2 linked regions of the Astyanax mexicanus genome follow. The protein of the gene in region 1 interacts with the protein of each later gene in a pairwise test. Links are inferred from orthologs where the notes say so. Each region holds a gene or a part of one and is shown in the gene's direction. Other genes may lie near its edges. The genes, in order: rnf8 and cep44.

Region 1 (16,258 bases):
TCCCGTAAGTCTGCTCTCTCTTGTTTTATGATAAGGTCACAGTTACAAAACTAAACCAAACTTGCGAGAGTTGCGAGGGGGTTAAGATTTCTCTTGGTCTTTCAGATCTTATCTTGACCTCCACAGTTGCCCTGAACTGCTGCTTCTAAACCACATGCTTGCACACTGTAGGAAATGCAAGCTAAAACAAATAGACATAGATTTTCATTGCCTTGTTTGCATGAATTACTTTCATTTTCAAATCTTTAGACAGTTGGTGAGAGCAGAGAATGTTAAATAAATGTTAGTATACAGTTCTTTGACTAAAGTTAGAACATTTAAACTCACTGTTTTTATTTAAAGTGACATTATTATTATTAGCCTGATTTGCTAATAATACAACTGTTTTGTTATATCTAGCTTATAGAATCAGAAATGATCACAAATATGTCTGCAAATAAATTAGACAACCAAACTGAAACTTGGATGCTGACCAAAAAGCTAAGTCTCACTAGGGTTTTCACCTTTGTCAACATGCATCCTCCACAATGCTTCCTCCCTCTTTCTCTCTCTCTCTCTTTCTCTCTCTCTCTCTCTCTCTCTCTCTATCTCTCTCTCAATCTCTCTCTCAATCTCTCTCTCAATCTCTCTCTCTCTCTTTCTCTAATAAAAATGAACTGTTCTCCAAAATGCATAAAGTTAAAAGCCATGTACTGATCATGTTTTGGAATTTATAACACACAAAAACACAGGATATACATATTTAGAGCAAAACAGAAAAAAGGTTTCCATGGATCTCTAATGTCAGTGTATTTTACCATGTACATGACAATGGATTCATACAAGATCTCTCATAAGCAACCGACATTTGTTTTAGTTATAACAGTGTAATGAAGCCTGATTTAAGAAATATAATATATATAGCACAGAACTAATGTTGCATATGCTAACATGCCTGATATTTACTGGCCCTTCTGTTACTTCTGTGACATTTTCTTTATAAAGTATCTAAAGTATCTGATCTAATGTCAACTTGCAATTACTGACATGAACTACTCATAAATGTTACAGTGGGCAGTGTTGGCTCAGGGGCTCGAACACCTGGGTTATTAATGATTAATTAAGGATTGATTGTTGGTTCAGTACCCAGATTTAACAGGCTGCCACTGTTAAACTGTGCCACCTTAAGCAGGGCCCGTAACCCTCACTACTCAACATACTCTGCAGTAATGGCTGCCCACCACTCCAGGAACTTTTTTTAAGGTGAATAAAGGGAAGAAAAAAATATTTATAAAGTATTCATATATGTTGCATTTGTTTATGAGGTGGAGGATCACTCAGCTGGTAAGGTAATACAGTGCTCACTGTATTACTGTGTGTTATGTGTATGTGTATGAGTGAGTCTTCATTGAAAAATGGGTTAAAAGCGAAAGCCATATTTCTTCTGTGTTTTCAACACAAGTTGGATCAATAGGGTTGTCTCAGTCTGGGTGTATCTATTATGAGGCCTATATGTGGATAGCCTTGGATAACAATATATGAAATAAATTCAAATGAAAGTGTGCAAAATTAGCATTTAGATGAATAAAAGCCATAATAATCACTTTAAAAACTCTTCAAACAGAATCTATTCTGTTTTTACAGTGCAGGCTCACACATTGCAAAGGCCAACCTATTGCAAAGAGAACTTACAGTGGTCGTGTTAAGTACTTGTGGTAACACTTGTGCTGTGCTATAACAGGAAAACATTAAACCACAGTCAATGCTGCAGGCCTGAAGAAATTGTAACAAAACTTTAAAAAGTTGCATTTAAGCACCTTAAATATAGAAATGGCAATATTCACACTAACTGCTCCCACTCTGAGCAGGAGTTGTATATGTCGTCCCCCACTGCAGCGTGGGGAGAGTGTTTTTGCTAAACAGAAATGTGGGAGAGGTGAGAAAACCACACAAGCACAGAGATGCAGAGTGAAATGTAAAAGTGTGTATGTTTTATTATGTGTGTTTTCAGGACAGAATCTCTTGCGTGTGTGTGCGTGTGTGGGGCAGGTGCTCTAGTTTCTAGTTTCAAGTGTTGCACAGAAACTGTGCAATGAAATTCTTGATGAAGAGCTCTGCAACCTAGCCACAACTCACTGTATATATACAAATAAATGATTGGACAGTGACATTTGGCATTTTAGCTGTTTACCAAAACATGTTTAAGATACCGTTATATAATCAGTATAGTCTGAAAGTGCTTAAATGTGAGGGTATGTTATTGTAATCACAGGAAGGGTTTAGGAATTGCAGCTTTTTTATATGTAGCCTTTTTAAGGGACCATAGATAAGGGTAAATGGACAATTATTTCAAAAGCTATTTCATGGACTGCATTGGCTATTACCTTGTGAATCCACCATCAATTAAGCAAGTAATTCTTAACTGAATTGTAGTTAATTCCTGGTGTGACATATGTTGCTATTAACTCACAACATCCAGCTTCCATGCCCAATCCAGACCTCAGACAGTCATTTCCTGCAAGTGATTCTCAACAAAGTATTAAAAATGAACATTTTATTAATGGTAGTTAATTAGTTAAGTTAACTACGTTAATTCATCCAATTATTTTTGAGTCCCTGAAATGAAGAGGCTTTGTAGAAAGAAAAAATAATAATTCAAATTAAAATTCTAAACTTTAACTGCATCTCGGTTGCTTTATTTTATATCCAGTCTGATGGCATGCAGTGCCTAAATCATTAAGATTTGGTCACTTTCCAAATATGTATGAGCCTAGCGGTAAACACAGGTTGTGTCTGAAACATAAATGTTGTGATTCAGACGAGATTATGAGGCAGGAAAGCACCCAGTCATGCAACCTAGTTGTGAAATCTAGTTTTCTGTTTTATTGGGTGAAAATGCTTACAGCTAATAACAACACTGTTAAACACTCATATCTAGCAGTGAGCTGTCCATACCCTGGCAATACCAGGACGTATTGGTCCTTTTTGATTCAGAACACATTTAAAAGCCACATTGGGATCTAGACTGCACTGGCAATCATGCTCATCATTATACTGGTTTTCTCCAGTAAAGACTGAGACTGACGCTTTTATGTGCCACCCAGAGCTTATTTTTGGCTCCAGTTGAGCAGTACCAGAGTGGTGTGCGAGAAACAGTGAGGGCTGACCCTTAAACCTTGCGTATTCACTACCACAATATATTGTATATGATTATTTTAGGAAAAGTTTTAAGGAAAGAAAGGAAGCGTTTTGAAAAATGTTTAGCACCTCAGGAGATGAGGTCTAAAATACCCAGCAAAAATCACTCATGTCAATATTGTGCCCAATACCCCAAACCAAGCCAAACAGAGTCTGCCTATAGTTTTGAGTATAATATAGCAATTGGCCCACACCGCTTTCGCCAAAACCCTGGTTGCCAAGTATATTATGGGAATTGGCCCACACCATCTCCTTTTGCACACCATAAACTACATTCAGTTCAATTCCACACTGCTGATGCCAGTCATTACCTAAGACTCTCAGAATCTTAACCTAGGGCTATGGCTTGTAAGCAGTCGTTCTAAGGAAAAAGCAAACTGTAACCAAAGCATTTATAGGTTGTGTCTGAAACTTACAAATACAAAAATGTACAAAATTATGAAACTTTGGGGCTGTGAGTTTTGGAATTTAATTCAATTAATGAATTTGAATTGGTTCCACGCTATAGGATGTTAAATTGATCACACTGAATTTGATTTACAGAAAATGGAATTCAACTAATTGCAATTAAGAGAATTAATTTTTATCACATATCGGTGACTGTGATCCATTTAACATACATTTTTCTTCCAAATAAAAGCACAGACACGAACATTAAGCATATATTCCCTCAATGTTTAATAATCAGCAATATTTTAATTCCAAAATATCAATTCAAGAATTTAATTGAAATGGAATTTAGAGGTCACTCTCAATTCAATTTTTATTCTTGTACAACCTACCCATACAGGATTCTAATGAAAAAAGGCACCCAGTCATCTCTGGGTAAAAATGATCATTTCTGCTGACGACACAGCTAAACATTCATATCTAGCAGTTGGTGTTGAGCTACCTTGACAATGTCACAACATATTTTGCCTACATCACTACACTACCATCTGAGACAGCATGGACAGCAAGACATCAAATCAGCTAGCTAACTTCAGTTCCAGAGACAACCATAAATACTGAGACTTAAACCTTGTCATAATAAACAGCAGCCATGTGCTCCTCTAGACAGCTGCCCAGCAATCTAAGAGTTCAAATATTCACTGTTCACTGATATTTTTGAAGTAGAAGTAGACTATATAAAGATAGCAAAGTGTTTTCAGGCAGCTGGTTACTCAGGACAAGAAGCAACACCACAATTTTCACCATAATGGAATGTGACCTCTGTCTCTGACTCATCCATGCAGTGAACACACAGCACACAGTGATATAGTGAGCACAGGGCCCGACATTGGGTAAAATGTAAGAAAAGGCAGTTAGCAAGAATATTGGAGATTGAGTTGATTAAAGCTGATTGAATTCAATTGAATAATAACTTTAAATTACATATAAGTTTGTTTTTGTTGTAGAAAAAAGATACAGATATTAGTACTGCATTATTAGTAATTATTGTGTTTATTTTGACCAGAGTTTATTTTAAAATATGGGGAAGTGGGTTTGTCACTTTTTTACTGACAGCTTCTACTCCTCTGGGAAGGCTTAACACACACGTGCAAAATTAAACAGCACTTTTTATGCACTGATGCTTTTTTACGTTAGTAATCTAATGCTTCAGGTTGATTATTAGCTATGGTTTAAACTGATTAAATTGGAGTGATAAAGTCTAGCTCTGGTCCTGTGGGTCGGTCTATGTGCTTATGTTAAAGGCAAACTGCTAGACTAGTACTGTCTGTATGTGTTACAAATAATTAATTTTACAGAATGCCAGATTCTGTAATGCCACTGGCCCATAGATGGTGCATGGCAGAGTACCTGTAAATGTGGACCAGAAGCTATAACCCTATTGTATTTTGCATATATATATGCTGAGACAGATGATTTCCCACTGCTGATACATCCTGTAAATGTGTTTGCATGTGGCCATCCAGTCAGCCATGAATACTGGGTTGTTCTTTTAAAGTAAAAAGCAGGTTCAGGTTCAGGTGAGAGAATAATTTAACTGTTTTATTGAGAGTGGGGTTCTAACACGCATATGTCCATGCCTGCAGGTATTATTTGATGTGTAGCATATCATTCATAAGCGTGAGTTCCCTCTAAGTCTATGAATAGGCCTACAGAGGTGTCAATGCCCTTAAGGGGACATCCAATTTGTTCACACTTACTATTCTTCTTAACCATGCGTCCTCCACGTATTACTCATAGTTGAGTCCTGCTATTTAAGTCTCCATGAGTAAAAAAAAAAACAACAACCAATACATAGCCAGTGCATTTTTTAAACGCTCACTCACAGTATCACACCTCAGACAGGGCTTAGTTTGCTAACAAGAACCACCCCTTTGTTAACCTTCCATTTTTTCTTTTTCTTCATTTTTTATATTAATGTAATGTTATATCACTTATAATTTAGATGGTTTAAAGCAGCTCAGAGACAAATTGAAAGACATGCATTTCTGGACAAGCTGTGAGATTCAGAACCTTCACTGTAAGTGAAATAACCATATGGAGTGAGGCATTAGAGTAATATTACAGGATTTTACATGAATATGTATTGGGGTGTGGATATTGGGTTGTTTGGTTGTTGGGTGGACAGATCCCCTAAAATTCACTATTACAAATCAGTTGAGTTTCACAGTGATTTTGAAGATGCAAGTTTAGTGTAAACATATTTATTATTTTTTTTAAGTAATTTCCGTAAATACCAGTATTTTATGATCCAAACAAATTCCAATTGATATTATGTAAATTAATTGTTATGCCTGAGTACTCCATAAAGGTCTTCATGAGTTCTTCTCCAGTGATTCTACAATTTGTAAAATACAATGTCCCTTATATACAGATCAAACCTTGTTCTACATCCATTATCCATTTTTTCACTGACCACGTTACATTACTTTGTTGTTCTATTATTAAAAGCAGTTATTATTTGGGTGGTCATTCCATCACAGTAGGAGTTTTTAAACACTGTGTCCTCTCACTGTCCATTCTATTAGACACTCCTACCTCATCTCATCTCATCTCATCTGTTACTACACAATTTGTGGTGGTCATCCTCTAGTCCATTATCGATGCTCACTGCTGGACTGAGAATATTCTCAGTCCAGAAGTGACACTGAGGTGTGTAAAAACTCCAGCAGCACTGCTGTGTCTGATCCACTTGTGTAATGAAAATCATTGCATGGACTAAGGAACACTTACAGAAATCATTGTGTGTAAACACAGTCCGATGTGAAATTCAGAAATGCAAGTGAAAGCTGTTTTAATGCTTTGGCCCAAAGGAGACAGCATAAAAGACTTCAAACTGGATGTAAATGATGAATGTTTAACAATTCTGAATGGTCTGATCCAACATGTTAAAAGAGTACTGATAGTGCTTTAATGTGGCAGTTCTTTTTGTAACTAGAAAATTCAAAAATAATAAGCTATAATGTTGTAAATGTACATATTGTTTTTGGCCAGAAATATTTTTACATAGTTTAATGCCAATTGTGACTCCTCAGTTTGTCTCCTTGCATTCACACGATCAATAGCTGAGATTATACACTCATACCAGCACCAAACACACAGCCCAGTGTGAACACTATCATATCAGCATCACTGATGTGCTAAACAATGATTCACAACGCCAACAATTTTCAGACAGCAGTGGTCCTGTGGTTACAAACTGAACAAATTATAAAGAAGTAGAAGAAGCTCATAAAATGCCGCTTAATGAGCTTCAGCCTGAAGCTGTATCAGTATGTGTAATGTGAAGCTGTTTGTCTGGTGAGTGAAGGTCAGAGTAGGTGTTTCTATCCTGGTGGTCACTGTGTGGAAGCACAAGAAAGGTGTTTCTAATAAAGTGGCCAGTGACAGAAAGCACTAGGGTTGCCACCCGTCCCATAAAATATGGAATCATACTTTATTTGGGAAATAAATATTGCATCCCGTATTGAATCAATTTGTAACATTAAATGTCCCATATACACAGATCAAACCTTGTTCTACATCCATTATCTTCACTGACCATGTTACATTATAATTGATCTATAATTACATACTGTATTTCTTATGTTTATCTGTTCGCCCTGTTCTTTAATAGTTCCTTTCACACAGCAGTTATTATTTGGGTGGTCATTCCTTCACAGGTCATTCCATAAATGTACAATCCACGTGTCTGTCACACACAGATCAACACTAAAGCCCTCCTCCCTCCGCTCCTCTGTGTGCTGCTGCACTGGTTAACTACAGATGTGTTATCTAAAAACAACTGTATTTATCTGTACAAAAAAATATTTCTTAGATTTAAAAAAATTGTACAGATTTCTGTGTATTTTGTGTCAAAATGGTTATATTTTTGAGGAATACAATGTCCCGTTATCATTACATAAAATATTATAATAAGTGGTTTACTAAAAACAACAGCATAAAACATACCACTGCTGCGGGTGCCCCGTCTTACAGGTGTTGGGCCTGTGGTGGATATGGCTCAAAGAAGCAATGGTGGGCGCCCCTTATTTTAAATTCTGAAAGGTGGCAACCCTAGAAAGCACAGAACAGGTATAGCCAGTAAATAAAAACAAGAAATATGTTTCTAATAAAATAGCCAATGACAGAAAGCGAAAGGTGAAAACAACAAAGGTGTTTCTGTTAAAGTGGCCAGAGAGTGAAAACAAGAAAGGTGTTTCTAATAAAAAGTCTTCAGTGAGTAAAAGCACACGGAAGGTGTTTCTAAAGTGGTCAATAAACTGAAGCACATGGTAGAGTGTTCTAGTCAGTGAATAGGAGTACAAGACAGGTAGTTCTAGTAAAGTGAATGGTAAGTGTATGATAACACGGGAAGCTCAGTTGATCCGATTTAAACTGTAGATTCTGACGCCATCTAGTGGTGCAGTAGAGCGTGTGGTTGTGTTGCTGAATCAGAACTGAAGCTCTGTGAGCTGCACATGTTTTTCTGCTCAAATAAACTTGATCTAAATGACTAGTAAAAAAGTTACTGAAAAATAATTCAGGCATTCCTTTTATTCATTTGGCTTTTTTTTCCTGTTCAATCTGTCATCTTGGGACAAACATCTTGTTAAATGTTCATAATATTAATTTCACCTAATATTTTATTATATTTTGTCTCTGTACTTGAGTGAGTTGGAGCTTAAGCTGTCTACCATTTTGTGTTAAAATATCGAGGCAATTAAAATTTTAGAAAATTTTAGAAAAGCAAAATATATATTTGAAACAGAATGTTCACCCTGCAGCTTGCCATAACAGGGTGCTTTAGTCTAAAGTATTATAAACATGAGAAATATTTAAATTAATTAAAAATCTCAAGACATTTTGTGATCATTATGAGACGTTTACAGTATTCAGATTAGGAATCACATAAACACAATTGCTGATCAGAAAGGCCAGGAATGAGTTAAAGTAAAAACAGATGTGTTCTGTGGACCTTAGAGAGAGGGGGGCAGAGTCAGGAGAACTGCAGACTATATAGGGGACCCTTAAATAATAGGTTGAACTTTTATTTTGGAATTGAGCGCGCCATGAAAAATCCCTCTCGTTGTTGTCGGATCTGTTGTCACATAGTAGCTGCTGGTGTTGTCTTACCTCGCGCCTTTAGTCTGAAATTCATCTGTACCACAGGGGCTGATCTGCTGCTCTGTGTAGTTTGTGTGGAGAAGCTGTAGTTTTGTGTAGTTTAGTGATTGTTGTTGTTGATTAATTCGGTTTGTATCGGTTGTGTATGTTGTGTGATTTACTCTGTTGTTTTTTATGTGCTTTAATGTAGGGGGTTGTGTAGTAGTATAATGTTGTGTAATTTGTTAGTGAGGAGTTTAAGGTAGTTTGCACTAGTCGCGGGTCTTGGGTTAGCTGGGATCTGCTGTCAGCTGCAGGGTTTGTGGTGAAGATGGCAGCAGCAGCAGCAGATCTCGCTGTCTCAGAGTCTCAGCTGTGATCCCGCTACACTGTGAGAGAATTATGGAGACGGTGGGTGAAGATCAGAAGCGGCCTGAGGAAGGAGACCATCAAGATGATAAAGTATGGTGTTTAAAACGAGTCGGCAAAGACAGCGGCTGGTTACGGCTAACCGAAGACACTGAGGTAACGGTACTGGATGAAGCTAAGCTAACCTGTAGCTAAGCTGAGCTAAGATAGCTAGCTGTTTTTCCTGTGTGTTTCAGCTAGGCTAGGTTAACCAACCCTACAAATTGCCACGTAGCCTATAATGTCCCGTTTTATCCAAACTGATTTAACCTCAAACTCTGAAAAAACACGGGACACTACAGTAAAAACGGCTAGGGCGAGAGTTTGAGGTGCAGTTTTCTAACGCTTTTATAGTAAACAAGGCTAATGCTAATGCTAACTCTGAGCAGCGTTGTGACGCTCACTGAAGGCTAGCTACGCTAAGCTAAGTTACCTAACCTACAAGAGGAGACTTAAAGCTTCAGAATTCCCTTATTATTTCTGTCAGTGTTTTGTCTGTGTAGGTGTGGGAGGTTAGGAAAGTGTAACATTTAAAAATTAATGACATAAGAGTTCTTTACAGGTTTCTGACAGAAGCAAATGTCCCTCTACAGAGATTTCCTCTGGCAGCTTCTCTATAGGAAATATTGTGCAATCTCGATTAACCCATTTTGAAAATTGCATTAAAGTAGATATTCAATTAATCAAGTTAATTTACCTTTCTGCCCTCATAGGTTAATATATAGTTCCAGCATAAAAAGTGCCAGCGTAGGGTGTTTTTTTTTTTTTCTTTCTTTTTTTGTAGACATTTTCTTCTGTTGCAATGAAAGACTGTATTCAGTGGAAGTATTTGTAAAAAAAAAAAAAAAAAAAGTGTTAACAGCAATGCTAATACTCTATAATATGGGTTACAGGTAACAGTAAAAAGCATTGATAAGTAATGTCTCAACAAATTATTGACACTTTGTTAATTATTGACACATTTTAATGCTTAAGAATTTAGAAGTAATAATGGAAAGGGACATTATTTAAGCACACCTTAACTAGTGTCAATTAGTAATTTGGTGGAACATGGTCTTTGTGTATATACTGGTAATTATTTTGTTAAATCCTGTTACTGCAATCCCTTAATTTTGTTTTTGTTGTTTTTTTTTTTTGTTTTTTTTTTCCCTTTTTCTTAAACCCAGGTTACCATTGGTCGTGGCCTGAATGTCACTCATCAGATCCTGTCAGTGAGTTGTCCGTTGATGATCTCCAGGAATCACTGTATGCTAAAGCAAAAGGAGGATGGGCAGTGGACAGTTACTGACAATGAGGTACACTACCGTACCTATCAATTTTGTGCCAAAACCCTTTTGAACTCTTAATCTTTTCCTGAATTTATAATACTGTCATTGTGGTGGTGATCATTATAATTTTCCCCCAATTAAAATAACTCAGATTTCTGATCACTATGCACTAGAATGTGGGGGGAAATTGTACTAATCAATAATGTCCTTCTTCCACCATCACATCAGTCATGAAAGAGAAGCAAACACTCAGCTATCTCAAAGACCATCCCAATACTGTGTGTTCACATACAACAATAGAGAGTGATAGCTTTGAATAAAATAAGATTTATAAGAGAATATGTTAAATTATAGTGATGTCTGAGATTTAATGGTGCATGGAATCGTTTGCTAAAAAGGATTGTAATCACGTTGACATCTGAGATTTACACCCTCTAAATCTTCTGTAATTCTTACTGCTGTTTCAGAGCATGAATGGAGTGTGGGTAAATGGAGTTCGCATTTCTGCTCGGAAACCCTACACCCTACAGCAAGATGATGTTGTGAGGTTCGGTGTCCCTTTGGATAGCAATCCGGTGGAATTTGAGTACGTCCTTATTCACCAAAGTCTTAGCAAAATCAAAGATTTCTTGACTAAAGCTGTTGTTGCCGAAGCTGGACCAAATGCTTCGGCCCTTAAACCCAAAAAGTCAAAGCGCAAGTTTGGTACGGATGAAGCAGAACCAGGTACAACTCTGGATTCCAGGTGCAAGCTTTATCGCAGTTCTGCAACCGACAAAGCTAGTGCTCAGCCCTGTCCAACAGATATACCTGCCTGCAGGTGGCCTGATGACCCACCTGGAAGCTCTGCTGACTGCAGCAACAGCAGCCAGCAGCTGGCTACACTACGGCGTTACAATAACAACCTGCGAGCGCTGAGGGATAGGATGGGGGCCACTCAGAAACAAGCTGCAGAGTTAGAGGGGCAGGAAAACACAAGTCCTGAGCAGCAAAGAAAAATGTTGGAGCTGCAGGAACAGATGGAGGTTTTACAAGGGCAGCTGAACTCCCAGCACGAAATGGCCCTGCAGCGTGTGAATATGCTGGAGAAATCTGTCTGTGAGGAGGAAAGGAGGCTGGAGGTGAGGCACTCACAATGTATCATTTGTTCATTGTTATCACCTTAGTCCTTTGGATTTTCTCACATTCAGATTCAAATTGAATGTCTCCTGCTATAGAACAGCAGGAAGATAAATAACATACTAAATAAAAAGACAAAAATAACACAAACTAAAGCATTAAAAACTACATAAAACTGTCATGTAAAATTTGTCCTTTAGCCAGTCACAATGTTGTTTCAGTTTTCTATTGTCCTGTCTACCAATTATTATTTTAATCAGGGCTATGTATATCCAATAATATGAAAAAACAATGTGAAAGCATGTGCTGGGGCTTGCTTTGATACCAATAGAGTGTTTTTTTGTTGTTGTTGTTGTTGTTTTTCAAAAAACATTCTTTATTCTAGGTGACGAAAGCTCAGCAGAAGGAAGATGGCCTAAAGAAACAACTGGAGGAGGCTTTGAAAGAGGTAGGAGATGAAACAGCTCTGTAACCCTACATACTAACCCTTACATGTAGCAGTCATTTCAGCATTTATATCGTATCTGTTTATTTATTTTTTATTTTTTAAATTGCAGCACCGAAAAGTGATTGAAGAGCTTCAACATGCAAGACAAGGTTTTAAGGAGGTTCTTCAGGCCAAGGATAAAGAGTTAGAGGTTACCAAGGTGATTCCTCTGAGATGTAGAATCTGATTACATTTACACCAAAACTTTTCAACTTGTTTTCCTCTCACATTTGATTCAGCAGGAGTCCTAGTGATACTTACTATTTACTAGCAGATTAATTGGAATTTAACTAGGTAGAAACTAATGGACAGAGAGCCCGTATCATATGCCAAAATTTCATTAGACATTTTGGCAGAATAGACATTTTGGCACAATTTGATAAGCACAATAATCTGATTTTATTAATTTACTCCAATTGCTCAGATTATATTAAGGCAAATATGGTGGATTAAGAAAACGTGATAAAGAGGTAGTTCTAGTAATCCGATTTTTTTTGTATAACGTACCCGTACTCTGATTTTTTTTTGCTGTTCTCAGTACACGCATTAACATGAACACTGGATAGGACAGATGCACATTCAAAACTAGCTTGTCTCCTCCTTTGCAGCAAAAGGGGCAATTTTGTGTATTATTCAAAATCATAAAAAGGGGGCCCGTCTTCACAAAAAGCTGCAGCAGGATGTTTTTTGTAAGCCTTTTCCATTTTCTGATTATTCAAATCCAGGTAAATGATCTGATCAGATTACTGAAAAAATCAGTTTTTCTATGGTTATCAGATTACTATGTGAACGCACCTTTTTTTGTGTCAGAAAAATCACAATACTGTTTCTGTATTAAAACAGCCATACTGTACAGCTATTATGACAAATTATGGTTTAAAATAACATTTCTATTTATAATGAATTTAGAAATTTATTTTCACTGTACTTTCTTTCATGCAGGAGGAGAAGGAGAAAGCACGAGCCCAGAAAGAGGAGGTTGTTACACAGATGACTGAAGTGCTGGAAAATGAACTGCAGTGCATCATCTGCTCTGAGCTTTTTATTGAGGTATGGCCTTCATGTGGCACTGAGCGTGCTTCGCAGGACTTCTGCAACACGAGTTGGCCACCTGTGTGGATCTATTGAACTTTTGTTTGTTTTTATGCTATACATAACTTGTAAAGCTCTACAGCTGTTTAACTGATTACTTAAATCAGTCATTGATTGTTACATGGTAACTTGGAGTCTATGATTTCCCTAGAAAGCTTGATTGTTTTTGCAGTGAATGACTGTCAATGATTGTGTCTGTATTCTTATCATATGTCTCAGGCTGTGACGCTGAACTGTGCACACAGTTTCTGTCTTCACTGTATCTCAGACTGGCGGAGACGAAAGGACGAGTGTCCGATCTGCAGGCAGGCGATCCTCTCCCAGACCCGCTCTCTGGTGCTAGACAACTGCATCGATCGCATGGTGGAGAACCTTAGTGCTGAGATGAGGGAGAGGAGAGTGGCACTAATTAGGGAGAGGAAAGGTGAGAGGTGCGTTCTCACCTTGCATTTCTGTAGCAAGTGCTACAGGTGCATCTCAAAAAAATGAAATACTGTTGAAAGTTCAATTATTTGAATAATTTTATTAAAAAGCAAAGCTCTATTATATAGATTTATTACACACAGATTGGTCTATTTTAAGCATTTATGCCTTTTTATTGTTGATTATGGTTTACAGACAATGAAAACCCAAAAGTCAGTATCTCAGTAAATTAGAATGTTTTATAAGACGTATTGGTACTTTTGGCAGTGTGTGCAGTGTGCTAAGTCCTCCTGGAAAATTACATCTGCATCACAATAAAGCATGCCAGCCCAGAGAAGCGTAAAGTGCTCAACTGCTTTGTGGTAGGTGGCTGAGCTGACTTGATGTAATACAGTGGACCAACACCAGAAGATGACCCGATGACCCACACTGCCAACCGTTGGTCTTGTATAATATCAAAATTTCTGAGAAACTGACTTTTGGCTTTTCAACTTTTCAATTATGATTATTATGTTTTTTAGATGCACCTTTAAATCATTTCCATTTGCTGTAAGAGATTGATGCTGAATGCACCACATAGACAATGACTTCCCATTACATGTGAGCCTTTTAAGATTCATAGCTAGCCAAAACTGTTATTGCATATAAATATGATTGACATTCCAGCATATAGAAGGTTCGTTACACTTTCCTGTTTAAGGTGTGGAAATTATTATGGTAGACTAGCGCATTTCAGTCTCTTGCCAAGCCTTGGCCCAGATTTCTATAACTCTCTGCTGGAACAGTGTTTACTGTAGTACTAGGTCATCTATTTATTATTCATCATGGTACAAATAGACATCAATTATAATAGTTAACATCATATTAATATAAGTGCCATTTATTCTCTAAAGGTTCTTGATGTTCGAATATCTACTTCAGTTTCTGTCTCATTATTGCTGTTCGATATTGAATATTTGTTTTTTATCATGAATAGTCTTTGATCAAGATAACTGCCTGAACTTCACCTCCTAAAATGTGTCGAAATTCATTATTGCACTAATCTGGAGATTAGTGCAATAATGCACTAATGCACTTTAACAGTGTTAAAATTAATGTTAATTACATGTTTAAATAAAACAAAGCCCTTTTGTTTGACCACAAAACTATTTTTTTTTTTTCTGAAAACAATTAAAAAGGTTTTTTGAAGAAATCCTAATATACTTAATACTTTTCTGTTCAACTTGAACATAAACAAGAAGAAATACATTGACATGCCAAAAGGCATGGTACAGAATTTAGCGTACTGGTTTGAATTGTAATTTCCAATGGAAACTAAAAAAGCAGCACTCACCTGGAGGATATGCGTGTGGGGGTCTCCTGTACTTGAATGTTGATGTGACTTCTGATTAGCTTATCTATTCACACTAGCATTTCTAGCAAGATGAAACCAATCATTATTACCCACTGTGTTGTCCATTGTGTGGGGTAATGCCTTCTATGACGTATTCTCTGTACACGTGTGACACTTATAATACACAGAACTTTGGAAAGGTGAAGTCCCATCTATCTGGAACCCGCTATCCGGCCTCATTAAAACTCTAATAATTCACACCGCCTTGCATGAGCACACTGACCTGTGTTCAACCTCACTCACAACTTATACAGGTGCTGGACTGAACCATGATATGTGTTTGTCTACTCAGGTCAGAGCAAAGCTCCTGTGGCAGTGGTAGTTATCCAGGACGACAGCAGCAGCAGCAGCGACAATGACTCTTCAGTTTACTTATCCACAGAGGGCTACCTGATCAACCCCAGGATACCATACTGCGTCGACACCAGTGACTCGTCTTCATGGAGTGATTAAAACCAATAACAGTGTTCCTAGTGAAACACTCGCTCACTTGAAGAATGTGAAGTGTACAGATCATATTTGTGTTTTTTTGTTTCTTATATGATTGTAGATCAATGTACCATATTTGTTTTGTTTCCTTATATAAATAAAATAGGTTTATTTGTTTCGCATTTGCTGTACTTTTGATTTTAGACATGTAGATAGCATCACTGTCCCATCAGTACTTTGAAACTTGATTATCTTTTATAGTATTACAGATTCATGTGCTCTTTATTGTTTTCAAAATTTGTGTTTTTGAGTGAACCAGGAGAAAAATTTTTAGAATGACATGGAGTAAAATAATTTGTATGATGAATAAGAAACTACTGTCTCAAAGCAAAGTTTTGTTAGGACCAGTGACAAGGGATAGATGTATCATGATCAGCCTCTCATATACAGCGTATTGCTACTGTGTTGCTTCAAATAGTTGTTTTTATTGCCTGCAAGCACAGGTTAATATTGCATGTGTAACTTTGAACACAAGGGGGCAGCAGCCTAATGGTATCATTTATTTATGCCTAGTTCGAAAGTGTATCTTAATGGCCTGACATCATGATGTACTTAATTCAATACTCCAGTTATGTGTTTAGTTTGAAGCCATAGACTTAAAACCTCAAACATAGACCTTATTTCATGAGACTGATGGAAAACAATTCCCCTTGTGGTCTTGTGAGTACGTTAATATTGCTGTGCTTTCAAGAAGACAACCCACTCTTTGCTTCCCAATTTACTAGAAACACATACCTGGTGCTTCCACTTACTGGCACTTTATAAGATACATCTATTTTGTAGTTTCACCCCTTGGCCACTTAATTATAATCACTTGCCTTTTACTCTGGCTGCTTCGTTAGATACATCTGTCTTGTGCTTCCACTC
Region 2 (16,767 bases), on another chromosome or scaffold:
GCAATGTACAATTAATGAAGACTGAACACCAGGCTGCTCCAATTTAGCCATGAAACCTCCCACACTAAAATGACAGGTGTTTCAGTTTCATTGTCCAACCCCTGTACAAATAAACACAATAGACGAAATCACGATTATCAAAAATTATTTGGGTCATGTTCATTTATTGTACGATAAATCAATATTGCAATTATTGTGACGGGCCTAGAGTAAACTTAACATTGTGGTTTTATTTTATAAACTTCAGACAACATTTCTCCCAAATTCCAAATAAAAATATTGTCATTTAGAGCATTTATTTGCAGAAAATGAGAAATGGCTGAAATAACAAAAAAAAGATGCAGAGCTTTCAGACCTGTCATTACTGAATTATTAAAATGCTGCTTTGTGACGTCATAGTCCTGTCTGATTTACCTAATTTCATAATACTAAATGCCACAGAGGTCAGGTCTGGCATGCTTTTGAACCGCTCAGTATAAAAAAAGTCAGTACTACAGGGTTTTATGTTTCACCCGCCTTCCCTTTGATGTTCTGCACAAAAGGCTTTACTTATGAATCTCAGTCAGTGCCAAATCTGTCTCTTGACCATGTGAATGAACTCAATCTGGAAGTATTATGGAGTTGTATGGGGCAGAACAGCAGGGGGAACCGGCTGACCCCATTACCAGTCCCGACACGGCTCTCGCTCAATTCAAACCCTGAAACTTAACTCTCCACCAAAAACTCCTGACCTGCTTTTACTGGCCTGAAGCAACTCCTTCAGAGTTTAAACACTGCATTTATTCTCTTAACGTTCATTCTCTTCATTTGTGCTTCCTATTGCTATTGGTGAGGCTCCTGAGCTAATGCATGTTTTACTGCACTTTACAGCTTATAATTTAGAGCCCTAGACTAATTTTGCAGGAAATTCTAGAATATAATCAAGAGGAAGATGGATGATCACAAGCCATCAAACCAAACTGAACTGCTTGAATTTTTGCACCAGGAGTAAAGCAGCATAAAGATATCCAAAAGCAGTGTGTAAGACTGGTGGAGGAGAACATGATGCCAAGATGCATGAAAACTGTGATAAAAAACCAAGATTATTCCACCAAATATTGATTTCTGAACTCTTAAAACTTTATGAATATGAACTTGTTTTATTCGCATTATTGGAGGTCTGAAAGCTCTGCATCTTTTCTGCAAATAAATGCTCTAAATTACAATATTTTTATTTGGAATTTAAGAGAAATGCCATCTGTAGTTTATAGAATAAAACAACAATGTTAATTTTACTCAAACATATAGCTATAAATAGCAAAATCAGAGAAACTGATTCAGAAACTGAAGTGCTCTCTTAATTTTATCTAGAGCTGTATATATTAACCTAAACATTACAAAGTATAATATCGGATGTTATTTTTATAAGATTCTAGAATATTTCACTATATCTTCTACTGTGAGGAAGATTTTTGTAATAATTATACTGACAGGGAATTTATACGACGTCAAAAAAGTGTCCTTTTTTATTATTAATGCTATTCGTTTGTTTATTCGTATTTACTTCTTTTAGTATTGATATTTTTCTTTTTTGTATTGCTCTTACAGCTACCAAAGCCCTGAGAGAGCACAATTGGTCTTGCTCTCTAGCTGGGTTGGTACAGTAGCTCGCGCTCTTTCTTTCCCCTCATCACTCCTAGGGAGATGTGGATCAGCACAAGGCTGCGTCTGTGAGCTGATGTATCAGAACCGAGTCACTGCGCTTTCCTCCGAGCGTTAGCGATGATGCTACTCAGCAATGCTGCATCAGCAACAATACAAAAAGAGTTTACCCTCCTGTTGGGGCACCACTAGTGATAGGTGGAGTCCTAATGAGTCGGTTGGGTAATCAGCCTCGTAAGTTAGGGAGAAAATGGGGAAAAAAAAAAAAAAATTCTAAAAAAAAAAAAAAAAAAAAGAAAGAAAGAAAGAAACGAATAGGTTATAACTGTGTTTAAAAGTGTTTAATTTTTTTCACTTTCCTGGCTAAAAATTTAATTTCAATGCATGCCTACTTTATACATACGAACTGGCACAGTTCTGACTACTGTTCACATACAATAAAATAAGAGTAATAATCTTCATAACCTGGCTCTTATACAGCAGCGTACATTAGTGCTCCCATTTATAGCATCTAAACCCCTCCCTCCTCAGACGTGCCGGCACTGAGGCTAAACCCGTATATCCCTGCCTGTTACTGGCAGCACGGAGCCGGCGGTTCAGCCGTCAGTTATGAGGACTGAAGCCTGTCCTGAGCGCAGTGGCAGTAATCCTCTCTCAGTGATATGCATTAAGAACTTTATCAGCCTTTATCTAAATTCCTCAGAGAGCTGCGTCTCTCACCCCGGCTCAGAATCCGCCGTGTTTATTCTGCATTAATGGCTTTGCTGAACCGTCCTGAGCTCAACTTAACCGTGCAGCAGCAGCAGCAGATACAGCTCTGTGCAGGAATTTCACTGTGAAATACACTGTGTTCAGTGTCCTAATGTTCGTGAACAGACTGTCTGACATAGAGCTGGGCGATTAATCGATTTTATCGATTAATTCAAATTTACAGTTAAGGACGATGTGTTTTCATGAAAATCGATTTTCTCTGAGTTTTAATTTTCACCACCGACGCTCCCCTGAACTTAGCCCCGCTTTGTAAAAAGCTATTCAACAATTTGTCTATAATAGGTTTGAAAATAAAGAAAACTTAAGAAAGCAAAAAAAATATATATATATATAAAATAAAAAACTGCTCTTATAATAACATTTAACAACACGGCAAAAGAATGATTTATGTAATTTACATAAAAATGAAGTTATTTTGAGACATGACTGCCTATTTAAAAAGCAACAGAAGTTGTTCATTTGTTGAAGTTAATTGTATCATTTCTAACATATTTAGAGTGTTTTTACTCACGTTTTTCTCTCTCACAATGTTAATCCTTTACAGCTTCAAAAACATGTATTATGCAAATTATACGATGACGTCATTTAGCAACTTCTAGCGACTTTTAGGAGATTTTAGTCTTTACATCTAAATTATCAATAAAAACACATTATTGTACACTTTTGAGAAACATATCACAATATATTGCTATATTCTTATTGCATTGTGATATCTTAACAACAATATCACTAGGTCTGCACAATAGTTTAAGCTTTCTTCCTGGTTGCATGGTTTGGTAATTTGGCCTTTAAAAAGAGGAATGGCCTGAATTAGATTGTAAAATGGGCAAGTAAGTTGATTGGTAAGCCGTTACTCAACTTGGAAACCTTGTATGGCAGACAGTTAAAGCAGGTAACTGATGTAATTTTGGGGGACAGTGAATTTAGGTTGCTTCCATCTGGACAGAGATTAAGAGTACCAAGATGCCATAACTCAAGCAAATAGGATGAATAGGACATAGAGACTTAAGGAATTGTATTTATATATATGTTGCTTACTGTATGTTTGTGTTTGCTTTGGTAAATGTTCTTTTTGTAACAAGATGCTGCTTCGCATACTGTAAATCAAATTTACATTTGGGTACAAATAAACTAACCTAACCTAATTGGAAAAATTTTACATTGCAAATTTTTTTGACAATATATATCGCGATATTAAACAATGCAGGGCCCATGACATTACCAGCCCCGCCCCCACCCACGTGCTGTCTCGGGTCCGGACCGATCAAGAGCTGAGTCAGCGCCGAGCTCTCAAAACCCGAGTAAAACAGCAAAACAACAGTAATCGCCCCTTTAATCAGGCATTTAAATGGATTTTTAAAATGTAAATAAGATTGTTTTTCTAGGATTAAAAGCGTGAATTCAGCTGTAACTGGAAATATCTGAGCTGTAAAACTGTGCTGGACTGAGGTGCACAGTGCCCAACCATGTGGAGGGCTGTTACCTCATGTTTACTCCTGCCCCCCCCTCTTGCTTCTCAGGCAGCTGCAGCCTGTCACTCACACGGACACAGAGACAGCGCTGTGTATCTACTTCTTGTGTGAAGAAATAAAAACTTTACAACATGACGTGTTCGTTTTAATTGCCTTAAGTAATCTTGAACGTCCTGCAATGTGACTACTGCGCATGCGCACATTGCGATGACAATGCTAAAACGATATATTATGCAGCCCTAGATATCACAATACTGTGATACTCTATTCATATTGGTTTAACACCTTCTCCCTCAGTATGTAAATTTTCCCCCCACATAGTAAATGAATAGTGAAGTGATCCAGACTGTGAAGGAACACATATGGAATCGTGTAGTAACTTAAAAGTGTTAAACAAACAAAAAAAAATACTCTGTGAAGAAGCTTTTAGATGCTCTTATCTGGGGAGCTGTTTTTTAACTTGTGGTTTCTGAGGCTGGAAACTCTGATGAACTTATCCTGTACAACAGAGGAAACTCTTGCTCTTCCTTCCCTGGGTTGGTCCTGATGAGAGCCAGTTTCAACATCATGTTTATGATGGTCTTTGCGGTGACACTTCAGGATACTTCCAATGTTTTTAAAATGTTTGACTAATCTTCATTTTTTCTTAAAGTATTATTTTTTCTTTACTTAGTAAACAACAACTGAGTAGTTGTTGCTTCTCATAATCTGGATTAGAACATTACTCAAATATTCACTATTCACTGTATACCTGTAACTCTACCTCTTCACTACTTTACTTTAACTGATGCTCTCAAACACTTTATTAAGAGACAAGAAATTCAAGTAATTAACTCTTGATGAGTTCAGCACAGCTGTTAACTGAAAGCCTGAATTCCAGGAGACTCTACCTCATAAAACTAACTGGGAAAATCCAGCCAAGATGTGTAAAGCTGTCTAATTTAAGCAAGAGGTGCTACTTTGACGAATCTAAAATATAAAACATATTCTGACTTGTTTATCAATTTCTTTTAGAATTTAGAGTACATATGTTTCAATAAAAAAGTATCCATATTTAAAGCCACATATTGATAATGTTTCAAAAACAAAAAGTATACGTAAATATATGTATTGTAATATTGTAGTATTTTGTCCCATTACTACTGAGGACTAGGGGTGGGCAATATTATATCGCATACAATATATCGTGACACAGAAATATCGTGATATTAAAAATCCATATCCTGATAATATAGATGTTCTGTCTTAAAAGTAGTCTATTATTTACTGTGAAGCTTTAGGAGTATTTATTGTATAATTGTTTTAGTTTGCAGTTTATATGCATGCACTAAATATTCTGCAATATTATTTGCTGAATTTTATTATTTTATGCAATATTATTTATTTTGCCACATTATGATTATGCTGTTATACTATTATACTATATTCCTGAAATTAATTAATTCTTTTTCTGTTTTTTCTATATCGCCAAGTATATTGTTATCGCAAAAATACCCTGAAATATCGTGATATTATTTTACAGCCATATCGCCCACCCCTACTGAGGACTAAAACTTTTGTATTTAATATATATGGAACATAAGGGATTTTGGGGATCTGTTGCTCTATTCATGACTTCTTAATTCATGATTTCTCTAATGTTTTTCTGTAATCTGGTGAGGGTAAGAGTGAGAGTGAGTAGTGAGCTGTGTTTGGGTGAGATGGTATTTAACCCGCTCCACCACATTCTCTGTGGTGTGTGGAGGAAACAAGCCGGTACAGTGTGACCGGCTCCTCTCATCCATAACTCAAGCGAAAGAGCAGTTCATTAATCTACAGCATATCCAACATACAGGTGCATTAAAAAAAAAAAAAGTAACTTTTTTTCAGTAATTCAGTTGAAAATGTGAAACTCATATATTATATAGATGTATTAAACAGAGAGTGATCTATTTCAAGAGTTTATTTATTTTATTGTTAATGATTATGGTTTACAGCCAATGAAAACCCAAAAATCAGTGTCTCAGAAAATTTTAATATTATATAAGACCAATTGGTACTTTAGGCAGTGTGGGCAGTGTGCCAAGTCCTGCTGGAAAATAAAATCCGCATCTCCATAAAGGTTACATTACATTACATTACATTACATTACATTTGGCAGACGCTTTTGTCCAAAGCGACTTACAATAGTCAAGTACAATGTAAAATAAGTTTAAAGGAAAAACATCTTTGGATAGGGATAAAAGGAGGACAAAGGGGAATAATAGGACAGAGGAGTGAAGGAGAGGAAGAAGGAAATGAGGTTAGAAGTAGTTAGTGTGTTAGAGGTATTAAGAGAGTAAGTGCTCTTTGGTTGTCAGTAGCAGAGGGAAGCACGAAGTGCTGTAAGATTTTGTGGGAAAACAAAACTGCACTGACTTTAGACTTGATAATAAAACACAGTGGATCAACACCAGCAGATGACATGTCTCTCCAAAACATCACTGATCATCAGTAAATTTGTCCAAAAAAAATATGATATACTTGTTATATATGAGATTTTGAAGGTGCCTTGAGCATAAGAAAGTAAGTTATATTTTATATATTATATGTAATACTTTTTCTATAATATAAGCACTATCATTTAAAGTTCTGTTATGGTTAAAAGAAAAGTCCCAGGATATATTATTGTCTTGAACTGGGCCTTTTTTATTTTACTTATTGATATTTACAAAAATCTATTATGTAATATCAGGTCTGTGACTGGTTCTGTGCAGCATTTTATATTTGTAGGTACCTTTAGGTAGTGTTTATGACTAAATTCTATTCTGACATATTGTATAAATAAATATTATATAATTTACTATCTGTGCTGTTAGACACTTCACACAGAAAACAACTGATTGAGGCTTTGTGAACAATCACACACACACTCTTCCACAGTTCAGTGTTTGGTGTTGAGTGTAAATACTGACTCAGCTCCAGCATTTTCCACTCAGTCACTCAGGTGAGTTTAGGCACATGCTGCTTACCTGTACCTCTACTTTTACCTGTCTGTGTACATCTATAGAGACCCAGAAAACACCAACAGCACTCCATTACTCACTTCTAGCAGCAGTACCCTAAATTTCACAATTCAAAATTACATCTTTTTTATAAAACTTAATTTCATTTAATTTCCAAACAATTCAAAACATTTTGGTCACATGTAAAAAATAAATGAATAGGATCTATGATTTAAATGAACTAGTCGGTTTCTATTGGCTTCTGGCACTTTGTATTTATATACTGGTTGTTTCCCATAGTTTCTGACTCTAGGGGTGAGCGATATGGTCATGAAATAATATTACAATATTTCTATTCATATTATAACTTCTTGAAGATATGACAAAAAAACAGAATAAAAATAAATAAATACAATAAAAACTAATAATAATAAAAAGTAACAATAATCATAATAATCATAATATGAGAATAATTATGAGGGTTGTCCACATTTATGATGAATGATGAAAAGATTTGTTCGAAAATGATTGGAAATAAATTATTTTTACAGTGACTTCCACTTTTTCAGTGTTTGTCCTGATATCTTAGTCATATTAGTTATTTTTTGTACTTTTGTAATTATGGCCTTTATTTGATTTCTTATTTTTTAAATATCTACTATTTTGAGATGCCTTGAATACAATGAATTAAATCATATTCTTATATATTATGTATTATTATTGTTCTATAATTAACTTTTAGTCCTGTCATATAAAGTTCTGTTATGTTTAAAACAAAAACAAGAGAAAAGCTACAAAATGACTTAAAATCAATTATTTTACACACAATACTTCTTTAATTATAATAATATTGGTTCAATTATAAAATTAACAACAATTGATTCAACTTTAAATTTACACACTATAACTTAAATCATTAAGCTTAATTAACTTATGTTTTTAGTAAAAATGACTCAAAATACGCTAAGGCAACATTTTTTCTCAAATTATTAGACTAAATGTAAGTTAATTAAACTTATTCAGGCTTTATAATGTGTTTTCCCTAAATTTGCCTACCAGCCTGGCTGCTCATCATTACGTAAGTTCACTGACAGCTTTTAAACTACATGTTTTTAATTCAATTTCACGTTAAAACACTTAATTTTAACTTTAAACTCGCGTTTAAACCCAAAATTTAGCATATAAACATTCACACTTTAGTTCTGTTTATGTTTCAAAGTACTGACTAATCGCCATCCCTCATCACGTTAGATTGCCGAACAAGTCCTGCCCTTACTCCCCGACGATTGGCTACAGCGCACATCAATCAAACCAGCGAGCTCTGCTATTGGCTGATTTAGCTGGCATTTAAAATTGTCATAGCTCCAGTAGCTGAACCCACCCACCTGTGTTTTTATGGCTTTATTTTCACCGCCGCCGCGACGAAATTCGTAACAGTTCACAGCAGCCGATGCGTGGAAATGTCCTTCAGCCCCCAAGCTCAGATAAAGCGCGCATTTCTTCCCCAGAAGCTCCAAAAACGGCTCAAAACCCGAGCAGGCTGAATCCGCGGTCAGGTTTATAATCTCCTCCACCGCTCAGAGTCTCTCAGTGCTCAGCCCCGCCCCTCCCATCATAAACCCCGCCCACTTTCTCTTTCTCCTTACTTATTTTTATTTATTTTATTATTTTTTTTATCTTTAAAGTGCTGGTAAACAGCCATGTGTCGTTTTTTTCCATCAGTAATATAAAGTATTTGTTAAAAATAAAATAATAAAATGACAAATATAATGCAGTGTAAAAACGAGTGTCGTCGTCACGTTTGACGTTTCTTGTTGTTGGTGGAAGTGACGCACGCGGATCAGCACGTTTTGGCAGGGCGTGCTAAAGAACAGCACTTTCGATAATAATTTATATTATTTATATTTATTATTATTTTCATTTTTAATTAAAATGTTAAATGCATTTACAATCAAATACATCATAAATAATGTAAAACATATATACAAATATTTAAAAATATATTACAATTCAAAAGAAGTAACTGAGAAGCAAATCTCACAAAGTGGCCAATAAATTATATATATATATATATAAAAAATAAAAATAGAAAAGTGAATTAGCTGGAAGATTAGAAGATTTCTTTAAGAGTCTGTAACTATCAACTGGTCACTTCATATGACGAGTATCTGTCCTGTATTTTGGTAAAATTTCAGCCACATGCATTTTGTAACTGACTTATATCACATTTTCTCTTAAAAAAGTGTAGGGATTAAATACATTTATTTAAAACGTTAATAAACTACACATAAAATTTGACAGAACACATAATACTTTGTTTTTTTGAATATATTTTTTCTTATCTTTTCAGGGTTGCTCATAAATAAAGTTTGACAGTATATCTAACTATAGACATGGCTACATTAGTAGTGCAATGCAAAAAAAAAAAAGCACAGTGAGAAAATGTTATTTTTTGTTATTTTTTGCTGAATAAACGAATCTTGGATATTGATATTCTGATAGATAGATATTTCTATCTGACTTTGTTTGATCGGCTAAAAAGTATATAAGATGAAGGACTCCTGGTGAAAACACGCCCATTCTGAATTTATTATTTATTATTATATTTTTTATTTATTTATTTTCCAAGCTATATTTCTGCACCCTATGCATTTTGCGAAGAAGTAATATATAAATGAATAAATAATTATATTTTTTTGTTTGTTTGTCCTTTCTTTGATTTTCGTTATAATAATATCTCTCTTGTCGTCTTAAAATTAAGTGATATATATTGAAAAGTATTTAAGAATGAGAAGAAACTATGTCTAAACTAATTTATAAAAAAAAAAATGTAATTCAGATCCAGGATGTAAAAATCCATGCCAGGATTTCGTTTCATCCGCCTGGACGGCTCTGCTGAAGCCCAGCTTCAGAAGAGCCGCCCAGGCGGATTGAACCAAATCCTGGCATGGATTTTTATAACTGTAACTAGTTAACTAGATAGCTCGATATACAGAGAGGCAGATAAATAAAAAGATACTTTTTTGATATCATATTGAAATAATCGTATGATTTATATGCATATATCTATAGTATATTTGTGATTAAGAACTCTAAAATCCGTTTCTAAAATCCGGTCCACTTTTTTCAGCTAGGAGGATGAATGTGCGGCTGTGAAATGATAGCTAAACAGTTTTAAATCCGCTGTGAGCGCGCCTAGAAACAAAATACAAACAAAATAAACGTCTATTTATCGAGTTTAAACCCGTTAAAACACTTCAAAACTCGTTAAAACTCTTTAAAACGGCTCAAACAACCGCAAAAAGTGGATTGTATACATACACTGAAGCTGCAACGCCTTGTTTTGCAAAGGTAAGGAGCGGAAATGCTCTAATATTAATATAAAAAAGCTGTATATTTGTGTTTAATAACGTTTTTCATTAGTTAATCGCTTTATTTCACTGTTAAACTGCAGGTAGACTGAAAAATGGCTACAGGTGATCTGAAGGGAAGCCTGAAGAAGCTGCAGACCTCCCTCAGATATCTCAAATACCCCAGAGAAGTGGATTATAACAGGTAATTTATTATGCCTGTTTTAATATGTTTTAATGTTTTTTCCTACATTGTAAATGAATACTAAAGTCATTCAGACTATGATAAAACATAAGTAATCTTTAAAAGTGTTAAACAAACCAAATTACCACTTTTTCTGAACTCTCTTGCTCTTTCTTTCCTGGGGCAGTCCTAATGAGTGCCAGTTCCACCATTTATTTTCTTTTGCCATTTTGCCATAATATGGATTAGAGCATTACTTAAACAGAGCTATTCACTGTATACCTGTAACTCTACCGTTTCACTACTTTACAACTGATGCTCTCAAACACTTTATTAAGAGACAAGAAATTCAAGTAATTAACTCTTGATGAGTTCAGCACAGCTGTTAACTGAAAACCTGAATTCTAGGTGACTCTACCTCATGAAGCTGACTAAGTAAATTTAGCCAAAATGTGCACTGACATTTTAGCAAAAGGTACAATATATATATATATATATATATATATATATATATATATATATATATATATATATATATATATATAAATAAACATATTCTGGTTTGTTTAACACTTATTTGTTTTGTTTTATTTAATAATTACATATGGTTTTCTTCATAGTTTAGATTACTTAATATTAATCTACAATATAGAACATGAAATTAGTGAAAAAGTACTGAATTTAAGGTGGGTCCAATTTTTTTGTTTGTGTGTACTAGGGGTGGACGATATGGCTCTAAAATAATATCACGATATTTCAGGGTATTTTTGCGATAACGATATACTTGGCGATATAGGAAAACTAAACTAATTCATTCATTTCAGGAATATAGTATAATAGTATAACAGTATATTCATAATGTGGCAAAATAAATAATATAGCATAAAATAATATAATGCAGCAAAAAATATTGCAGAATATTTAGTGCATGCATATAAACTGCAAACTAAAACAATTATACAATAAATACACAAACAATACAAAAATGTGTACAGAGATGGGTGATATGGCCAAAAGTTATATTATGAATACTACATCATGACAAGTAAAGGCATTTGTACAATACACAATATGTATCCTTTTTCATCACATAGAAAAATTACAAGACATTTTACAAAAAAAAAAATATATACTTTTTTTTTTTTATGCATGTCATCCAATTTAACAGGATTTGTTTGCACTATCCGAATTAAGTGTACTGGTACTCCCTGTAGAGACGTTTTTGCAATAGAATAGGGGGTATAAAGCCCTCAGTTTTGAGCTGTGGGACAGTGGTAGAGCTTTGTTTTCTGAAATGATGGAGCTTCATCTAATATTTAAGAAAGGGCGGAGTTGTGGAGATGGAAATCTCCACAAGAGATTCTCACAGCAATGCTCTAAAATGCAGCAGAATGAAAGAAAGCAGTGAGTTTTTAACTGATCAGTCTGTGTGTGTTTTGTAATTGAGTTTATAGCACATGTTCTGCTTCTAATGTTCTGTTCCCAACAGTGTGATTGCATCATTCTGATGCTGCACTTGTTGAGTAATATTATCCGTTCTGTCGTCCAGCCTGTAAGACTGTGTTCATCACAGAAACTCAGACTGTAATGATGATATAATGAGATTAATCCTGCAGCCCTGCCCGGTGTTGTGCTGAATTCAGTAGCCATGTGGACAGCAGCAGAATGCAGGAATGAAACCAATCTAACACAACTCAGCTCGTTTTCCAATCAGTCCAATAGGAGCCAGTCTAGTGTTGTGCCGAATTCAGCACCCCCGCCAGGAAAAGCACCCCCTCTCAGGAGTGCGCACTCATGTCTTCTTAGCTTTAACTTTATTTGGAAAATGGAAACACCCAAGATACTGTTGTAAGCTACGATGACTTGTAAAAAAAAAATAAAAAAAATAAATAAAATAAATACATGCCACCTGCAGCCTCTCCCTGAGAGAGGGTGCTTTATTTGGCGGGAGTGCTAAATTTAGCACCATAGTAGTGCCTAAATCTGCAGCCCCACCGTGAAAAGCACCCCTCTCAGCAGCGCATATGCGTTTTTTTTTTTTTTTTTTTTTTTGACAAAAAATGCAGAGATAATTGCTTTATTATTATTTAGAAATAGGGGGTGCTTTTCCTGGCAGGGGTGCTGAATTTGGCATAACACTAGACTGGATCAAATTAAACTGATTGGAAAACGAGCTGAATTGTATTATAGATTATGTGATTCCTGCATTCTGCTGCCGTCCACATGGCTGCTTGATTTGCAGGATGGAAATGAAATGATGGAATACTTGAATTTCCAACATAGACGTCTCGAATTGTGATTCCCCAGAAACTCCATCCAACCGGCACTAATGCCTGAAATCCAGCTCAGATTTACAACAAACACTATGGCAGCGGCGGTTTGGAGCTGAACAGAAGCTCGGACTGGACGCAGGGCTGACTCATATTCCCGTATTCCCACTGTAATTACACAGAGCAGATTTACTGTTACTGTAAATTACTGAAGTACATCTGATCTGCTGCTGCGTTCGTCTGCAGGATAATCGACTTAATGGACTACATGCAAAAAACCTTTAACTTTCACTATACAGCCAAATGTTTGTGGACACCCCTATTAAAGGGGAACTAAACTCAGCTCAAATTTAAAAAGGGGGAGGGGTGGGTGATGTATGGGTTTAGAGACGGTGCAGGAGGGAGAGCTGATTGGCTGAGCTACAGCAGCAGCAGTGTGCCTCTGATAGCAGTTAGACGCAGACATGTGATTTGTCTACCTACGAAAGTACACAGAAACTGTAACTATAGCACAGTTTAACCTGAGAGGGTGCTAAAGAGCCAGAAATCACCATAATAAAGTGTTTTTTTAAGTTTAGGAAATGTTTATAAAGATTTTAAGCAGGACTGGTGTGTTTTATTAACACATTTCAGCTATTACTTAAAAAAATATGGTTTAGGGTTTAGTGGCTCTTCAAAATGCATTTAACTACTATATACATGGATCTGTTGGCACCATACTAATGTCTAATGCCAGGTGTGGGCTAGAGGGATGTATGCTTGGGATGCACTGATGTGGGGGGAATTTTAAGCCAGTGTCGTTGTCCAATATTAAACATGTATACTAGTTCATCTCAAAATAAAATTAATATAATTGAAAAGTAACTATTTCAGTAATTCAGTTCAAAATATATATTGTTTTTACTTTTATTGTCAATGATTAACCCAAAAATTAGTGTCTTTTAGAAAATTTTTATGTTATATAAGACCAATTGTTAATTTCTGCAGTGTGGGCAGTGTGCCAAGTCCTGCTGAAAAAATAAAATCAGCATCTCGATAAAAGTTGTCAGTAGCAGAGGGAAGCATGAAGTGCTGTAAGATTTTGTGGGAAAACAAAACTGCACTGACTTTAGACTTGATAATAAAACACAGTGGATCAACACCAGCAGATTAAATTTTTACTCAAAATCTGAAAAATAAGGAAAATGTCTTTTAAATATAGTGATTAAATATTTTTACCATATGATCCAGCAGCTCAATCAGTGTGTGCAAACACAAACCAGGGAGGATTGCTTTTATACTGTTTGTATCGATATCGATATGAAATATATTATGATTATAGATTTTTTTTTTCCGTATCATCCAGCCCTGTTCTTACATACACTACATAGATTAAACAGAGACATAGTTAAATGTAAATCTAAAACATCAATATTTGCATTGAACAGAAATGTGTTGGTGTAAATATATAAAAGCTGAAACTCTTCGGGGAAGTTGTGCTGCGTCTGGTTGCTCTCTCATGAAGTCAGAAGGACAGCTCCTCTTGATCTCGTGTTCATCAGTGATGCGCTGCTGTAAGCAGAACCACCTGCTCGGGTCTCAGTAGATATCAGGAATGCTGGGATGTCTAGGTCTGTTTATTCACAGCCAGCTGAAAAGTGTTCAGATCATTTAGACTGCAGACTGGATCAGATTTACTGTAAAGCTGAAAATAACACTAATATAAATATATTAACACAAATCCCTTCATTAGACTGAGGCTAAGTACAGTCTGACAGGATTCTGTTATATGAGTATTTAACTGTGAGCAATAGCCAACAGATCAGAAATCTGCAGATTCAATGTTGTCAATGTTTTATTTGTATGCTTTAATGTAATTTAAATTAAATATATTAACTCTCCTATTATGTTCCTTTGTCAGGAACAGCAGTGGTGTTCCCGGGTCATATTGACCCGTCACATATTTAATTATCAAAAAGATTATGAAAAAAAAAAATCCTAACAAGCAGTGTGAGTATTTCATTACTAACTCCATTGCTAATTATTATCAATATAATCAATATTTAGTGCAATAGTGTCCCTTACCTCTAACAGGTAATGGTTCAATTAGGAAAATTCACTTGTTTTTCATACAAAACAAAAATATATGTTCAACCTTTAATTTTTTGTTTCCCTATTTTATTACTTTTAAAAGACCAACATATAAAACATTAGTTTTACATAACATTAAAACATAACATTGCAATTTTGTTTCAGTTTTAGTTTTTGCAGGGGTTGGTTGCAAATATGTAAGATGAACCATTTTCATATTATATGTTAATTATACTAATTAAGGCTGAATTTTTTTCATACTGAAAAAAAATACTTATAACCTTTTTTTTTTTTTTTTCCCAAACTTCAAGATGGGACAATAACATATAATGTCGCTAGGACTGGGTATGTTTTGGAACAAACAGTGAGCATGTTTGTGGTGCTTTATTAGGAATTAAAAAAAAAAAAAAAAAAATATATATATATATATATATATATATATATATATATATATATATATATATGTTACATTTACAAAATTAAGATAATTGATATTACTGGTGTCAATCACTTAAAAAATTATTATAATCCTGATTTGTTTTTTTGTTTTTTAATTCTGCTAGTTCCCTGTATTTTTGAGAGGGGGCAGTAATAATAGTGTAGTGTGGTTTAGGCCAGGCAGACTAAAGCTTTTTGTTTTACTGTATTATAATATCGAGAGAGAGAGAGAGAGAGAGAGAGAGAGAGAGAGAACGTGAGTGAGACAGAGAGTGTGCGAGATGTTGATTTGAGGTGATTTAATTGGGATGAGCTGGAGCTTCACAGCGTGAAGGAAAAGCAGCAACTACTGTTCAGCACCTCCAGGAACTCCTTTAAAATGCTGAGAAAACTATTCCAGGTGACTCTTCCTCATGAAGACACTGAGGTTAAAATCTCACCAAGAGTGTGCAGATCTGTCCTCAAAGATAAATTTGATACTCATAAAATATATTTTGATTTGTTTGTTTACAAAATAGTTCTGCATGTGTTCCTGTAGAGCTTTAATATAGTCTTCAATATTGAATTTACAATGTAAATGTAAAAAACGTTGAAGAAACATATTAATTTAGAAGGGGTGTGTCCAGACTTTTGACTGGTACTGCATGTGCAATGTAATGTAAAAATATACAACCACAGTACCAAAGTAACTATGGCTGCAACTAATGATTATTCTTGTAGTCGACTTATCTGGCAATTATTTTTGCAATTAGTTCATTAATCAATGATTATTTCTGCCATGCCCTTCGTCTCTGCTTGCTGTGGGTATTTAAAATGATAGAAACAGCTAAACATGGGATTTAAATGCCATTAAAATATCCAGAACATTGCCCTTTAAAACGTGCAAAGTTCTGATATTTAGTGAGGAAATGTGTAATCTACAAAATTTTATAATCAACATTGTCGATTATATCAACTAATCGTTGCTGCCCTAAAAGTAACTAGTAAAGCTAATACAAATTAGGTTGATTTCAATCAGAAAACCACAATTTTAGTTATAGTGTTTTTCATTTTTATTATTCCAACATTGTATCAATTGTATTATTAACAGTGCAATACAACACTTTCCTAGTGACCAATTATTTAAAGCTAATGTCTGTAAGTTTGGGGATTTGGGGGATTTAGGACCCTCTCTGGTGAGAATTGGTAATTACACCAAGCATGCGGAAGAATCATTTTAAACTGGGCGGGTGTGATGCGGTCTCCTTTCAGAGCGGATGAGCCCGATTCCAGGTTATGTTCAGTCAGAGAGAGAGAGAGAGCGATCAGTCAGAAACTTCACTCCTTTGTTTCTTTGGTTTTACTATGAGTGAATGAGCTACTGAGCTCTGAGTTTCCTCTTCTGAAGTCTCCATTGCTCCACCAGCCGCTCGCGTTCAGTAAAACTGAGCCAGATCCTCTTTTAGAGGCTGTACGTGTGACGTAAGTACGTAAAGATGCGTGACGTGACCAGAAGAAGAACACCCGTGAAAAGCGACCCGACACCCCAGTTTATAGAATGAATATATTATTAGGCTTAGCAGGGATGCTGCTTTCAGCTTCAAAACTAAATAACATGGACTGACACTT

The links.
Region 2: the proteins of rnf8 (region 1) and cep44 interact in binary tests that used the Homo sapiens proteins (3 or more experiments, as listed by UniProt). The two-hybrid records come from large-scale screens. The link is inferred for Astyanax mexicanus from reciprocal best matches to the Homo sapiens genes RNF8 and CEP44.

Annotation. Positions count from the first base shown.
Region 1 is NC_064408.1:85,897,557-85,913,814, reverse strand, and holds rnf8 (E3 ubiquitin-protein ligase rnf8), read left to right. Parts: upstream 1-8,655; 5' UTR 8,656-9,114; coding exon 9,115-9,237; intron 9,238-10,286; coding exon 10,287-10,415; intron 10,416-10,855; coding exon 10,856-11,509; intron 11,510-11,892; coding exon 11,893-11,955; intron 11,956-12,064; coding exon 12,065-12,154; intron 12,155-12,936; coding exon 12,937-13,044; intron 13,045-13,305; coding exon 13,306-13,510; coding exon of another isoform or gene 13,511-13,517; intron 13,518-15,194; coding exon 15,195-15,355; 3' UTR 15,356-15,513; downstream 15,514-16,258. UniProt on the Homo sapiens protein: E3 ubiquitin-protein ligase that plays a key role in DNA damage signaling via 2 distinct roles: by mediating the 'Lys-63'-linked ubiquitination of histones H2A and H2AX and promoting the recruitment of DNA repair proteins at double-strand breaks (DSBs) sites, and by catalyzing 'Lys-48'-linked ubiquitination to remove target proteins from DNA damage sites.
Region 2 is NC_064414.1:52,239,418-52,256,184, forward strand, and holds the start of cep44 (centrosomal protein of 44 kDa), read left to right. Parts: upstream 1-9,973; 5' UTR 9,974-10,198; intron 10,199-10,301; 5' UTR 10,302-10,313; coding exon 10,314-10,402; intron 10,403-16,767. UniProt on the Homo sapiens protein: Centriole-enriched microtubule-binding protein involved in centriole biogenesis. In collaboration with CEP295 and POC1B, is required for the centriole-to-centrosome conversion by ensuring the formation of bona fide centriole wall.